Arabidopsis thaliana: one gene and its partners. The protein of the gene in region 3 interacts with the protein of the main gene of each other region in a pairwise test. Each region holds a gene or a part of one and is shown on either strand. Other genes may lie near its edges. The genes, in order: NCBP, AT1G72730 and eIFiso4G1.

What was found.
Region 1: the proteins of eIFiso4G1 (region 3) and NCBP interact in a two-hybrid assay, tested with the Arabidopsis thaliana proteins (one large-scale study listed by BioGRID).
Region 2: the proteins of eIFiso4G1 (region 3) and AT1G72730 interact in a two-hybrid assay, tested with the Arabidopsis thaliana proteins (one large-scale study listed by BioGRID).

Annotation. Positions count from the first base shown.
Region 1 is NC_003076.8:5,989,082-5,993,799, forward strand, and holds the start of NCBP (Putative cap-binding protein), read right to left. Parts: upstream 1,601-4,718; 5' UTR 1,508-1,600; coding exon 1,370-1,507; intron 1,030-1,369; coding exon 937-1,029; intron 847-936; coding exon 742-846; intron 597-741; coding exon 519-596; intron 361-518; coding exon 241-360; intron 156-240; coding exon 24-155; 3' UTR 1-23. Other genes in the region: APRL7 (APR-like 7), read left to right, coding at 2,304-2,465, 3,265-3,446, 3,941-4,065, 4,215-4,615. UniProt on the Arabidopsis thaliana protein: Recognizes and binds the 7-methylguanosine-containing mRNA cap during an early step in the initiation of protein synthesis and facilitates ribosome binding by inducing the unwinding of the mRNAs secondary structures.
Region 2 is NC_003070.9:27,377,122-27,381,839, reverse strand, and holds AT1G72730 (DEA(D/H)-box RNA helicase family protein), read left to right. Parts: upstream 1-1,657; 5' UTR 1,658-1,835; intron 1,836-2,244; 5' UTR 2,245-2,246; coding exon 2,247-2,314; intron 2,315-2,390; coding exon 2,391-2,500; intron 2,501-2,643; coding exon 2,644-3,074; intron 3,075-3,164; coding exon 3,165-3,800; 3' UTR 3,801-4,081; downstream 4,082-4,718. Other genes in the region: AT1G72740 (Homeodomain-like/winged-helix DNA-binding family protein), read left to right, coding at 50-134, 592-693, 939-1,218, 1,310-1,341; AT1G72720 (hypothetical protein (DUF3511)), read left to right, coding at 4,554-4,718. UniProt on the Arabidopsis thaliana protein: ATP-dependent RNA helicase which is a subunit of the eIF4F complex involved in cap recognition and is required for mRNA binding to ribosome.
Region 3 is NC_003076.8:23,437,467-23,442,184, forward strand, and holds the start of eIFiso4G1 (MIF4G domain-containing protein / MA3 domain-containing protein), read left to right. Parts: upstream 1-2,033; 5' UTR 2,034-2,288; coding exon 2,289-2,462; intron 2,463-2,834; exon of another isoform or gene 2,835-2,940; intron 2,941-3,120; coding exon 3,121-3,192; intron 3,193-3,297; coding exon 3,298-3,405; intron 3,406-3,495; coding exon 3,496-3,705; intron 3,706-3,806; coding exon 3,807-3,904; intron 3,905-4,023; coding exon 4,024-4,111; intron 4,112-4,203; coding exon 4,204-4,554; intron 4,555-4,641; coding exon 4,642-4,718. Other genes in the region: AT5G57860 (Ubiquitin-like superfamily protein), read left to right, coding at 525-527, 808-993, 1,140-1,179, 1,563-1,621.

The DNA of each region.
Region 1 (4,718 bases), about 17 Mb from region 3:
TGATACAATCATCGACTTTGGGCCTATCCTCTCAGCCATGTGTTTCTGTAGGAAGAGTTGTCGCGGAGAGAAGCATCGTGTGGCTTGTATTCCATGACATATGCATGAGGCAACTTCAAATGCCGCTTGATTGAGTCTCTCAAACCCATCACTGCCTGTTTAAGGAAAACATTGCACTGTGTAAGTACCAATCAAAAGGAGAGGGAGAGAGACAGTTCTTCTTGTGAACAGTTTTCTCACCTGATGGTCAGAAGCATTGCGATTCCATACACTAATGATGTCCTCGTTGAAACGGACACTCAGTACTGCCCCACATATGTTATCAGCATCATCAAGCTGGTCGCCTACCAACGCAAGAAGCTGAAGAAAACAAATAAACGGAAGAGTATTTAACATGATTCTCAGACCCTAAGTATGTAAAATGGATTATAAATAACATTGACAAAAGGGTTTCTTTTGAATAAAGTAGAAAGGTGTCAATACTCCAATAGTAGTGCCCACAAGAAAATAAAACTCACCAGATCCTCCCAGAAGCGAGCAGATACAACTTTTGAGAAACGTATGATCCACTTTCCTCCATTGCAGTTGGCACCATCCTAAAGGTGATGAATTTAGCTAGTTTAGTTGGTTTATTGAAGAAGATACAACTCTTGAGAAACTTTTGTTGTATAAAAGGTTCCCTCTATATCGATGATCCAGATAAAAACACAATACGAAAAATCAACACAGGGGAATACGTACCTCCCACAATGGACGAATCCCATCCTTAAAGAAATGAAGATCTGTTGGACTAGGCAAGAGAGAAGAACGAGCAAGGTGACAGTAGCAGGCCCAAAATCCTTCAACCTAGTTTATAAAAGCCATAACTCAGAAACGAACAAGATAGTATCGCAAACAGCTTCAACAATGAACTTCCAGTAGTATATTTAGACTTACCGTGCTGAATTCTACCATCTTCTTGATGTTATCTTCATAAGACTGGTTCCGAACCCCTGGTGTGCGACGAGTGTACCATATCGAAAACTTGTACTGCATCATTACCAAAAATCCTAGAGTCACTGAGCCAGTACTTACTCTTAACAATGAAATCAGTTCCTCTAAATCAATCTGCCTTGTTCTAGCTACAATCAATACCACCAATACGAAAATCCTATAACATTTGAGCTCACATACATCTAAACAAATTCGCAAAACCTAATTTGAAAACAAAAACTCCAACAAACAAAGATTTAGAATCCGAATCTTCCACTACTCTAGCTATAAACCGTCATATACAAAGTTCAGAAATCTTTGACGAACGGGAATCAAATTTTCAGCTAAGATCAGATTCAAATTGCAAATGAATCGATACTAAGGATAAAGGACAAACCCGTAAAGGATGGTCTCCATCCTTGAGCTCACGAGAGCGGCGTTCCTCGGAAACAGAGTCGGTAACATAGTGTGACTTGATGCTGTCCATGTTTCCCGAGTCCCTGATCTCATCGTCTCTCCTATCCAAAACCTCCATTTTTTTCTCGATTAGAGCTTCACGCGTTCGTGCTTTCAAAAGCCCTAAAATTCCAATCAGGAAGAAGAAAGAGGAGGAGAGAAGAAAAGAACTGTATTACTTTTCCACTCGGTCAAATACATAAAGGTCAAATTCTGGAGAAAAAAAATAGCATATGGGCCTTATTGGGTCTACTAAATGGGCCTTAGTGATTAGTTAGTTTTAATATCTCAATGATTTTCATTCTTTTTTACAGTAAACAAAATAAGAAACAGAAAATTCAAAAGTGGACAAAATGTATTAAGTATAGTTGTTGGTTATTACATAAACTAATCCAACCGGAACAAAAGAGATATGTCTTAAACACATACACATGCACCTATCACGGCAAGATTAGTGGTGTAGTGGAGAAAATTAAAAAAAAAAGGAATGTGTGACGAATGCGATTTGTCAAAAAAGAAAATTAAAAAAAAGAATCGATTTTTGGCGTTCTCCATCTGTAATGTAATGTTTCTGCAAAAACAAGTGACAATAAAAACTTTTTCATGGATCTGAGATTTTCTCCAAATCTATATTTGTGATTGTTTCGTGTAGTTTTTCTCTTAAAGTTGTGTTCTTTAAGCTCTCTCGTGCTCAATCTTACGTTTCCCTTTGGTTTGATTTCGTGTTTTTGTTATTCGATTTCACCTTTAACTTTTATCTAATCTCTTGTTTTTGATTTTGTAAATTGTAAAAAGTTTCTGGTGATTCTCTTAGCGAATTTGGGAAACTTTATCTGTATTTTTCTGTTTCGCCGTAGATTTAGGATCCTTAATTAATGAATTTGTGGGTTTCAATATTCCTCGTCTCTGCAATAGCTGGATCATGCTTACCTTCTGGGTTTGCTTACGTTGACGTTTGCAATCACGAATTCGAGGTGTTCCGATCCGTGATCGAGCAAAAATGTCCTCGTTCTTTGTATCCAAGCCCTCCTATCGAGGTACGTCATCATTGTTATAGCAAAACGAATATTTTTATCTTCGATTGGATTAGGCATGCGTTTGGTGTGCCTTTAAAGTGGAAGAATTTGCTTAAATATCATCTCTTGAAAATTCAGATGATAACTCTTCCATAATGTGATTTGTAAGGATCGATTCGAGCCCTCTTTTGCTTATTTGGCATGATATCACTTTAGAGTGTTGTGGTCGTGACAACAAGTCTCTTTTTTTCAGCTTTTGGTTGTGGTTTTCACTATGCAAAGCTTAATGAGAACGGTATAGGCTTGTAGCTTAACTTCACTGATGTTTTACCTTTGCTCCAATGTTTCTTGAGGTCTCAGAGGTTTTTTGAACGTGGTAGTAGTTTACCTGCAGTTAGAATTTTGAGGAATGTTCAATGGATATAGAGTCCCTTACTGTAAAAAGAAAGCTGGTGGTAATATGTTTGTTTCCAGTCAATATATTAGTTTATGATGAAATAATCTACTTAAATGGTTGGATTGTTTTGGTTGGAAAAGTGTATAACTAATGATGTATTTGTCACGATCATGCTTGTTTCTCCGATATGTGGGATCTCTCTTTTCTACTTAAGTTCTGCAATGAATTCCTTTTATTTGTGTCAACAGTGGTAAGCTACCAACAGAATCTCATCATGTCACCTGCAATGTATTAGCTTCAATTTCTAATGTTGAAATGCAGCAAAGATGTTATTGCAAAGAAATTAAATATGTGTGGGTGCTTCTATATAGGGTGCCTGTTTTTGTAACTCAAGTATCTTAATTTGTGTTCTTGTTAATGTAGGTAGATGGAGACTTGCTAGACAAACTCATGGATGCAAACCATGGAAATGCCTATATATCCATACTATTTTATACCTCACGGTGCCCGTTTTCACGTGCAGTACGCCCAAAGTTTGATGTTCTGAGTTCAATGTTTCCTCACATAACGCACCTGATTGTTGAGCAATCTCAGGCTTTACCATCGTAAGAACTTACTTAGAATACTTAGATTATTCTATTTACATCTTATCTGATATAGTGAGGCCATGGATCAATTGAACCATTCACAACAAATCCTGGGTGTTGATATCCCCCTTGCAGAAATAAAATGACTTGAATTACTTGTCAGATTGTTTAGATTTGCCAGTAATCAATCCGTCTTTTACACTGATCAGTAAAGTTTTTGGCTTAATGAGTTAGTTTTACAAAGACAGGACAAATAATTCAATATGACAGAAATGATGCTATGTGTGTTCATTGTCTCTTATTCTTGCACGCTTTGCTAGAGGCTACTTTTTAGTTTATTTGGTGAGCATCAAATGTAGATTAGTTAGGTTATTATGCTGTATAACCCTTTTAGCCTTATGAAATTGTTTCATGAGTAGCTTATCCTCTAAAATACTAAATGTTTTCATCATTTCTTTCCCATTTTTGGTCCATGTTAATTGATATCATGAATTTTTTTGTTCATATTGCAGTGTGTTTTCTAGGTATGGTATCCATAGCTTGCCTTCAATCCTGATGGTGAATCAAACAATGAAGATGCGATACCATGGTCCAAAGGATCTTGCATCCCTGATTCAGTTTTACAAGGAAACAACAGGTGAGAGTATGCTTCATGAAAAGCCAGACTGTGTCTCTGTTTGTACTTTCTGGTTTTGTTTTCTACTGTATCTGAATATATTAGCTCACAACTTATTAAAATCCTTTGAAGAAAATCAGTTAAACTTTTTTATATCTGTGTCTTTCCAGGTCTTAAACCTGTCCAGTATATGGATGAAGGTGAACCAACAAGCTTGGACACTGATGGAAACCTGATCACATGGCTACACAACGGGTCATCTATCAGAGAAATAGCAGAAAGAGAGCCATATATGGTACTTGCACTAATGTTTCTGTCTTTGAAACTGGCAATTTTGATCTTCCCCATCATGGGATCACGGTTGAAAACGTTATGGGCATTGTATGTTCCGCATCTGAGCTTGGGAATACTTGGTGAGACTAGCCAACTGTTTGGCCGTGCCCTACACATGATCGATGTGAGGAGACTATGGATAAAACTGAGACTCACCAAAACAAGGAACTTCCAAGAAAGAGCAAAGAACGCACTTGCATCAGTCTCACTAGGAAAATCTTCATCACAATCAGCCTAAAAGGGTGATTTAGAAATCCTTCACTGTCAATGAGCTTAGTTTAGATTACTTTACTTTACTGTCTGTGAGAGATCCTTTGACTGACATGTTTCTATACCTTTGG
Region 2 (4,718 bases), on a different chromosome or scaffold from region 3:
ATAATCTTCATCATGTATTGCTAAACTTCTGATATGTCCCTATTTTCAGGTATGACGGGGTGATATTTGAAGCTCTCTCTGCTTTAGCCGATGGTAATGGATCTGATGTCAGTTCCATTTATCATTTCATTGAGGTTTGACAAATTTCTCTCTGCTATTTATTATGCACAGATCAGAAAATTATATGTGCTCGCTTTGTAAACTACTTAACAGATTATTAGAGACATCATCTATATATGTGGGAGGGATAGTTATGTTATTGGCACGTGTAAACTCTATCTTACATTGACTTGTGCAAATGGCTTATTACTACTATCAGCAATCTTAGATGATTCGTCCTTCTCAAATGAGAACACCGAGTTCTAAATGTAAAGTCTTATACTACTAATTATTTGTACTTTGACGTTTTATAGTATGATAATACTTGTCGTGAAGCTGTCCACTATGCATATCTGAAAAAATGTTAGAACTCTTGATTTTACTTAAATTTGGTCACTTTCTGTTATTCTTTTATCACATTTGGCTATATAATAGCTTTTGTATTGGACCTTACGACTGAGTGCTAACAATGGTTTACTGTGGAAAGAGCAGCCCAGGCATGAAGTACCGCCAAATTTTAGAAGAATCCTTAGTACAAGACTGAGGAGGCTTGCAGCTCAGAGCAAACTTGAAAAGGTTAGCACCTTCAAATCTGTAAGTCTTGAATCTCACTTTTCTTGTGTTTTTTAATGAGTTCCCATTTTCTTTTAAAATTCCCAAAAAAAACCATCTTCATCAATTGGTGTTTAAAACTATCTGGTCCATATCTGTCTGAGCCAATGAAGCATGGTTTAGAATCCACTGAATTAATAACTGAAGCAGTGACAATGTTCTTTAAAGCCTTCTCATGCTATGTCTTTGGTTTTTCTTTCTGTGTTGTTCAATCCAACATATAACAGATACAGAACTTCTATAAGATACCCGATCCATCAGGAACAAAAATAGGTGTCCCAAAACCAAAGGAGACACATACGAAGCTGCGCCAAGCAAACAATCAGACCTCTGCTGATTCACAACAGATGATCGAGGAAGCTGCAATAACCGCAGCCTGTAAAGTCGTAGAGGCGGAGAATAAAATAGACGTTGCCAAACTAGCAGCAGAAGAGTTTGAGAAGATGACAAAGATTGCAGAAGAAAATAGAAAACTCCTGGTCATAGCTACTGAGATGCATGAACTATGTAAGAAAAAGCCAGACTCTTTTCTCATTATTGGCTAAGCAAAACAAAACAAAACGTCTCTAACTTTGGTATTATATGGTCTGTTTTGCAGGTTCCTGTGGGGAGACTATGCTCTTGGCTTGAATTGAATCTATGGGACATTCCTTGTAGCTCTCTTCAGTTATCTCCGTAATGGTGTTGATAATAATATATAAAAAGAAAACTAAATTAATTTACTAGGCGTGGCTTTTTTGGTTTTAAATTCCTGAACCTACATACATATTTTTACATTAGCGAAGTTACTTTCGTATAATTTTATATAAATTTCTTTACATCGAATTTTAATGTTAATTTTTTTTTGGGTCCAAAACCATTAATTGGAGTAATAAATATATTAAAAGTTTAGAGGGCAAATCGGGAAAGAAGATATTTAAGTTGTTTTCCTTTTCCTACTTGGAATAAGCAAAGTAAAACCTAAAAAAAAAAAAAGACCGTAAGTAGTTACAAGGGTGGAAGTATAAAGGAGCAGTCTTTTCTTCTTCTTTCAACCCCACGGCGCAGATCCTACGAGTTTGGTCTTTGTCTCTATCTTTTCAATCTTTCTCTCTCAATCGCTCTTCAATTTGATAACAGCAAAGGTTTGTTTGAATCTCTCTTCTTTTTGTATGATTTGTATTTTGGATCCCCATTGTGCTTGCTTTTATAGAAGTTATAGGTTTTGATATTGTTTGATTCATGTTTGCTTCATCCTAATACAATGCTGATTCGTAAAGGATCGGTTTTTGTACAAGGATGATTTAGATGTTCTATTACTGCGACTTGGTTATGTTTTGGTTACATTAATTGAATCCTTAGGATTATGCAGTTGACTTTACGAAGATGAATGCTTGATTTGCTTCTGCTCTTTCTATCTCTCTTGGTGCTTCTATGTTTTTATCACCTTTTACGTGTTTGTTATGTGATCTCAGAGACAACGAGTTCGATTATAAATTGTAATCTGTTTTTTTTTTCTAATGTCGATTTCATATTTTTGTTATGCTTGTCCAGTCATGGCAGGAATGGCATCTGATGGAACTCAATATGATCCTCGTCAGTTTGATACTAAGATGAATGCCATGTGAGTTAAATTTTAGTATCTTAATATCTGAATCCCTTTATAACAACCAAGAACTGACTTGTGTAATACTTTCTAGTCTCGGCGAGGAAGGAGAGGAAACATTCTACACTAACTATGACGAAGTTTGCGACAGCTTTGATGCAATGGAATTGCAACCAGATCTTCTCAGGGGTATTTATGCTTACGGTAAGTGAAGTATTTCCTTTGAGAACACATTCTATACATACCTTCATTGTTTCTGTCTAGTTTTGTATTTTCTTTTGTTTGTTTCAAAGCTTAGTACTGTTACTCTTAAACAACCTCATATTGGTTTTGTTATTTATCATTAGGTTTCGAGAAGCCTTCTGCTATTCAGCAAAGAGGAATTATTCCATTCTGCAAGGGTCTTGATGTGATCCAGCAAGCTCAATCTGGAACTGGAAAGACCGCTACCTTTTGCTCTGGTGTTTTACAGCAGCTCGATATTAGTTTGGTTCAATGCCAAGCTCTTGTTTTGGCACCTACCCGAGAACTTGCCCAGCAAATTGAAAAGGTTATGAGGGCACTTGGTGACTACCTTGGCGTCAAGGCTCAGGCTTGTGTTGGTGGAACAAGTGTTCGTGAGGATCAACGTGTTCTTCAGTCTGGTGTTCATGTTGTTGTTGGAACCCCTGGTCGTGTCTTTGACTTGTTACGCAGACAATCCCTCCGTGCTGATGCAATCAAAATGTTTGTTCTTGATGAAGCTGATGAAATGCTCTCTCGTGGTTTCAAGGATCAGGTTTAATCTTGTTTAATCTCCCATTCACATTTTCTTTTTCTCTCTGATAAAATCAAGTCATTTGTTCTTATAATTTGATTTCTCTGTCAGATATACGACATCTTCCAGCTTCTTCCTTCCAAGGTTCAGGTTGGTGTTTTCTCTGCTACAATGCCTCCCGAAGCCCTTGAGATCACAAGGAAGTTCATGAACAAACCAGTCAGGATTCTGGTCAAGCGAGACGAGCTGACTCTTGAAGGTATCAAGCAGTTTTATGTCAATGTAGACAAGGAAGAGTGGAAACTCGAGACACTATGCGATCTCTACGAGACACTGGCCATCACTCAAAGCGTCATCTTTGTGAACACAAGGCGTAAGGTTGATTGGCTAACCGACAAAATGAGAAGCCGTGACCACACTGTTTCAGCTACACACGGAGACATGGACCAGAACACAAGAGACATCATCATGCGCGAATTCCGCTCTGGGTCTTCCCGTGTCCTCATAACCACTGACCTCCTTGCTCGTGGTATCGATGTTCAGCAAGTCTCTCTGGTCATAAACTTTGACCTCCCAACCCAACCGGAGAATTACCTTCATCGTATTGGAAGAAGTGGAAGGTTTGGGAGAAAGGGAGTAGCAATCAATTTCATGACATCGGAGGATGAGAGAATGATGGCTGATATTCAGAGGTTTTACAATGTGGTCGTTGAGGAGTTGCCAAGCAATGTTGCTGATCTTCTCTGAAGCCTTTCTTTTTTCTGTTTTTTACTGAGAAAGTGCTGTGTTTACCCCTTTTTTTGGCAGCTTCTCTATGCTTTGATTTTTGTTTTCAGGCTACTACTTAGATTTATAGTTCTTGGCTAAAAGCGAACATAACTCATTACATGATTTTGCTTTTTTGGCAATCAAGAATTTCGGCATTATTTATCTTTTTGTGAACGTGGCTTACAAGGAAGGATACTCTATGAGACTAAAGACTTTTCTCTACTTGAGTTTCATTAATGAACTTTTGTTGATTTTCTAGTTTTCTACTCTTGAATTTACAATAAATATATACTACATAAGGTTGGGGACGAGCCCCAAAAATTTCCCTCGAATTCATGAAGTGAGAAGCGGCCATGTGTAAATCCAAAGGACATGAGATCTTACAAAATTTTCTTAGGAAAAATAAATATGCAAAACTGTACTAAGTACAGTGATAACTAATCGCTAGTAATGTTTTTTTTTTAAATGTAACAAACAAATCTCATCTAAAACAATATACAAACAAAAAAAACTTCGAGTAACTAAATAGATACAGTATTGAGGTTGTGATTACTGCACTAAATATTGAACAAGATATAGAGGTGATGTCTCATTCTATAAATATGTCAAAAACTCGCAAGTGACAAAAAGCAGAAGAGAAAGAGGTTGGAGATAAAACCCAAAAGCAACTATCTCCTTTTTCTTCCTAAAAAAGCAGAGCAATCTTTTTTTGAGGTTTGTTTGCAAGTGAAGATGTTCAGATCTAAGTCATGCAGAGAAGAGACCAGAAGTAGCAGCATCACCAACAAGTACCATTGCTTCAGTCATGGAGAAAAATCAGAATCAGAACCAACAAACCAGCAGCCACCAGTGATGATGAGATCTTACAGTACATCAACTTATAATGCATACCAGAAT
Region 3 (4,718 bases):
TATTTTAATATTCAATCAATCAAAAATAAAAGCCTAAAACAAAACAAACCCTCTCTGTCTTTTAGTGGGTTTTGTACGACGCCTAATCGATGTTAGTATTATATCTGTAGCCAAACAAGCCACCAAAGTGGTATTTTTCTTCTTCCTTCCTTACCTTGTAGGGCTCTGAGCTCGAGTTATAAAAAAGCCAACTTTGATTTCTTTGCCAGTATTTCATCCTTAATCCATTCTTGTGGTCACTTTTTCGTCCTTAACCCATCTAGGTAAGTCGATTTCATTGTTTGTTATTTGAGTCAGTAATTTTTGAAAATCTTTGCTTTTTTTTCTTTTCTTTTGAATATCAAAAGAAGAAAAGATTTGGGGGATAACTAGATCATCTCTTTAGTTAAATTGACTCTTTGAGGTGTGTCAATTGTCACTGATAGTCTGATTAATCTTTTATTGGCATCTTAGAACAGATTTTGATTCTAAAGTCTTGTGAATCGGCAGCGGAAGAAGAGTGAATTGTTCATCCTTATCTTGCCATGGTAAACATTCTACTTCTTTTGTTCACTTTGATGGGTTTGATTGTTCTTAGTATATTCAATCCTTTGCTTATTTGACGGGAAGTAGAGATGTTTTTGGAATGAGAACATCTTTTCCCTTCTTAATTCCAGCTTCCTGATCACATTTATTACTGTTCTTCTTGGAGTAATAAAAGTTGAGATACTTTTGTCTTGCAATAATTTTGCTTTAATCAATCGAACAAGTTAGATTTTGGCCATATTGGTTGTAGTATTGATTAGTCTTGTGTAATATTGTTTGCAGGCTATGTATATTCGTGTGAAGCGCATGAAAACTACTTACTTTATCCAATGTGATCCAACAGAGACTGTTTTGGATGTTAAGCAAAAACTGTTTGCTCTCATTGAGCAACCAGTTAACAATCAGCGTCTGGTCTTAATGTCTACCGAAGAAGTATTAGAGGATTCGAAATCCTTAGCAGATCAGAAGGTATCACACGTTTGACTATCTAATATATTTATCTTTTGAGTCATTGCTCAAGTTTAAAAGAAGAACTTGGTCACATAGCCACTGCCTCCGTTTGCGTGTATTTGAAAGTTATAAGCTTGTCACCATCTTCTTTTTTGGTTGTTCAGGTTGAGAATGATGCAGTTGTGGCTTTGACTTTGAAGAAAGGTTATACCTTAGATCCTCTTATTCTGAAATTTTCAATTCCTTGTTGAAATGTCGTAATGGATCATGCATCTTGGTTAATTACTTATCACACTTCATCTTTCTATATGTTATTTGGTATATGAACCCTTCAAACTCCATTGACTTCAATTGAGCCTGTTATTGTGAATCTTAGTTATTTTGTTATCACTGGATAATCTTTTGGTATGTTTAAGAGTCTTGCCTAACTTTTGTGACCGTGATATAGCTGAATGTGATTCCTAATCTTATTATTCTTTTAGCCTTGTTTCGATTACACAACTGTTGAGGATGCTGTATTGCATTCTGAATCTATACAGCTATGAACGGCATAATGATTGCATTGCATCTCTTTTTTCCATGTGCAGATGATAACGAGTTTGAGGATGTCAACATTGCACAGCCCACCGACTTCTCACTTTCATGAAGAGTTGCTTACTGTATCAAGGAAACTTCAGGAGAAGGTATTGATTCAAAACACAAGGAGGAGTCTATAAACGCCAGAAGTTGTTTCTTTTGCGTCTCTGCTTGTGTTAACGCCTCTTTAGTTTGTTACAGACAATTGTTGTAAGTAAAGATATTGAGATGTGGAAGTTTGATTGCAACTTGCCAGATTAGTAGTTTTTACAGTCTCTTAATATGTTTACAATGAGCTAGAGGTGCAGCTAACACGAGCCGAGGAAGCTCCATTATTACCATTTGACATTGTTCATTGACGGAAAACCCAATGAGGGTGACAAAATAAAGAGACAAAAAAACAAAATGAAAGGACATAACTGTAATCTTAACGGAAAAAAACGTTAAGGCTATAAGTGTGTCTGGTTCGGGAAAAAGAGAGGAAAAAAACCCTAATAAAGAGAAGGGATTGTGTCTCCTTCTCGACTTCTTCTTCTTCTTCTCATTTCTCAATCTCAACTTTTCTCTTCTCTTCTCTTCTTCGCTAACGGCAGGAGAGAGAGAGACCCAGAAATCCGATCCCTCCTCTCCTTGGATTATCGGAGTCAGCGATTCATCGTCGCTGATAAAGCTTCTACCTTTCTCTTCGATTTTTGTTGTGAGATTCGATTCGATCTTAAGGCGGATTAGATCGAGGTATGCAGCAAGGCGATCAAACGGTTCTGAGCTTGAGACCTGGTGGCGGTCGAGGAAACAGACTATTTGGTTCCTCTTCTTCTTCTTCGTCTCTCTCTTTTGGCTCTCTTTCATCTTCGGATCTACCTCTCCTTCGTCCTCATGGTGGTGCTCCTGCTTCCTCTTTTCCCTTCAAGGTACCCTCATTTCTGGGTCCCCTCTCTAAATTTGGATCTAACTCCCTCTTCTTCCTCTGATTTAGAATTTGTTTTATCTCTCTTGTCTTAGCTTGAGCTAAAAATTTATCCTTTTTTACGGGTTTGTCGCAATCAGCAGCCTTTTTGTTTGGAATTATAATCTTTGGTATATTGCTGATTTGATTCTCTCAAATGTCTGAATTGGCTAATATCTTTCTGATTTGCGAGTTTTAATGCTTTGTGTTTGTAATAACTACTGAGCTCATGTTGGATTTTGATAGGTGTCTGCAACATACATAATTGAACTTCATAGGTTTATATGTCAATACGAGTAATGCAAGCAGTTTGTTTGTCCTGATTCTTAGTGGCGCACGCAAGTATGTGTTTCTGCTGTAAATATGGACGTATAATGATATGTAGGCTTTTAGGTGGGCATTTTGTTAGCTGCTATTTGCTCATAAAGGACCTACTGACATTTCTTCTAGTTTTTCTTTAGTTCATCACTCATTTCGGCCTTATGGTTAAAGAATTATTCCTCTCTTTCTTTTGTACTGAGTACTCGTGGTTCCTTGTCTCCTTTATACGTTATTTCTTATATGATTTTGTGTATTGGGTGTTAGTTAATGAAGATTTATCCTGGGTTGTGCTTTTGTTTCAGGGTGGAGACTCGAGGTTCGATGGCCGTGAACGTGTGAAGTACACCCGTGAGCAGCTCCTGGAGCTTAAAGAGGTGATTATCCCAGTTAAATAATATAGGATTAAAGCCGGTTTAGTTTCTGCTGTTCGTATTTGTTCTTCCTTAGTTGAGGTCATTGACGTCTGTGCATATATACAGACCACTCAACTCTCTGATGAAATTCTGAGAGTCCAACGGGAAACTGCAGCTGAACTGTTTGGTGAGGAAGGGACTTGGGCACGTGGAGAAAGTGTCGTAAGCAATTTGGTATAGTTTTGTTGAAACATAAATTTTGCATTTTGGTATAGTTTCATGAAGTTTCACTTTTAACACATATCTTTTATTTTAATGGTTCAGGTTCCCGTTCAATCCGCAAGTCGCTTCTCTGAGCCAGACTCTCGTGATTGGCGTAGCCGTTCTACTCAACCTCCACCCTCTGGGGAGGAAAGGTCGTGGGATAATCTTCGTGAAGCTAAAGATTCCAGGTATGTTGAAGCAAGTCAATATAATCGTCAAGACCAACCTAATTCCCAGTTTTCAAGGGCAAACATATCATCCAACCAAGGGGTAATTGATCAATAGATGAATGTTTTTCCCTCTTCTTAGCCCTTTACATTCTGGCATGATTTCTTATTTTTCTTACTTATTTGTATATCGTGTGGAACCAGGGTGGACCAGCTCCTGTCCTCGTCAAAGCCGAAGTTCCTTGGTCAGCTAGAAGAGGAAACCTTTCTGAAAATGATCGTGTTCTGAAGACTGTGAAAGGGTAATGCCGTTGTGACAGTTATTAGTTGTCTAGACTTTTGTATAACTTTCCTTTACTGCCAACATGAAATCTTTAAAATAGACTATGCACACTTACAAAGATATACTTTTCTTGTCCAGGATACTGAACAAGCTAACCCCTGAAAAGTATGACCTTCTCAAGGGCCAACTTATTGAATCTGGCATCACATCTGCTGATATCCTGAAGGTGTATGCTATGTCTCAAGCATAGATGAAGTCTTGTTTGAATCATCTAGGCTGTTTGTGTGGCTAACCCGTGTTCTTTTCTTTCATTTGTAGGGTGTGATTACCCTTATTTTTGACAAAGCTGTCCTTGAGCCGACCTTTTGCCCTATGTATGCAAAATTGTGCTCTGATATCAACGACCAGCTGCCCACCTTCCCACCTGCAGAGCCTGGGGATAAGGAGATTACATTTAAGAGGGTTCTACTGAATATCTGTCAAGAGGCATTTGAGGGCGCTTCTCAGTTGAGGGAGGAGCTTAGACAGATGAGTGCTCCAGATCAGGAGGCTGAGCGGAATGACAAAGAAAAATTGTTGAAGCTCAAGACTCTAGGAAATATTCGTTTGATTGGTGAGCTTTTGAAGCAGAAGATGGTCCCAGAAAAGATTGTTCATCACATTGTTCAGGTTAACACCTATAAGCTTACACATTTTCTTAGACTTCTTTTATTTTGGTATCTAGCATTAACCTTTCTTAATTTGTTCTGTGCACAGGAGCTTCTGGGGGCCGATGAGAAAGTTTGTCCAGCCGAGGAAAATGTCGAAGCTATTTGTCATTTCTTCAAAACTAT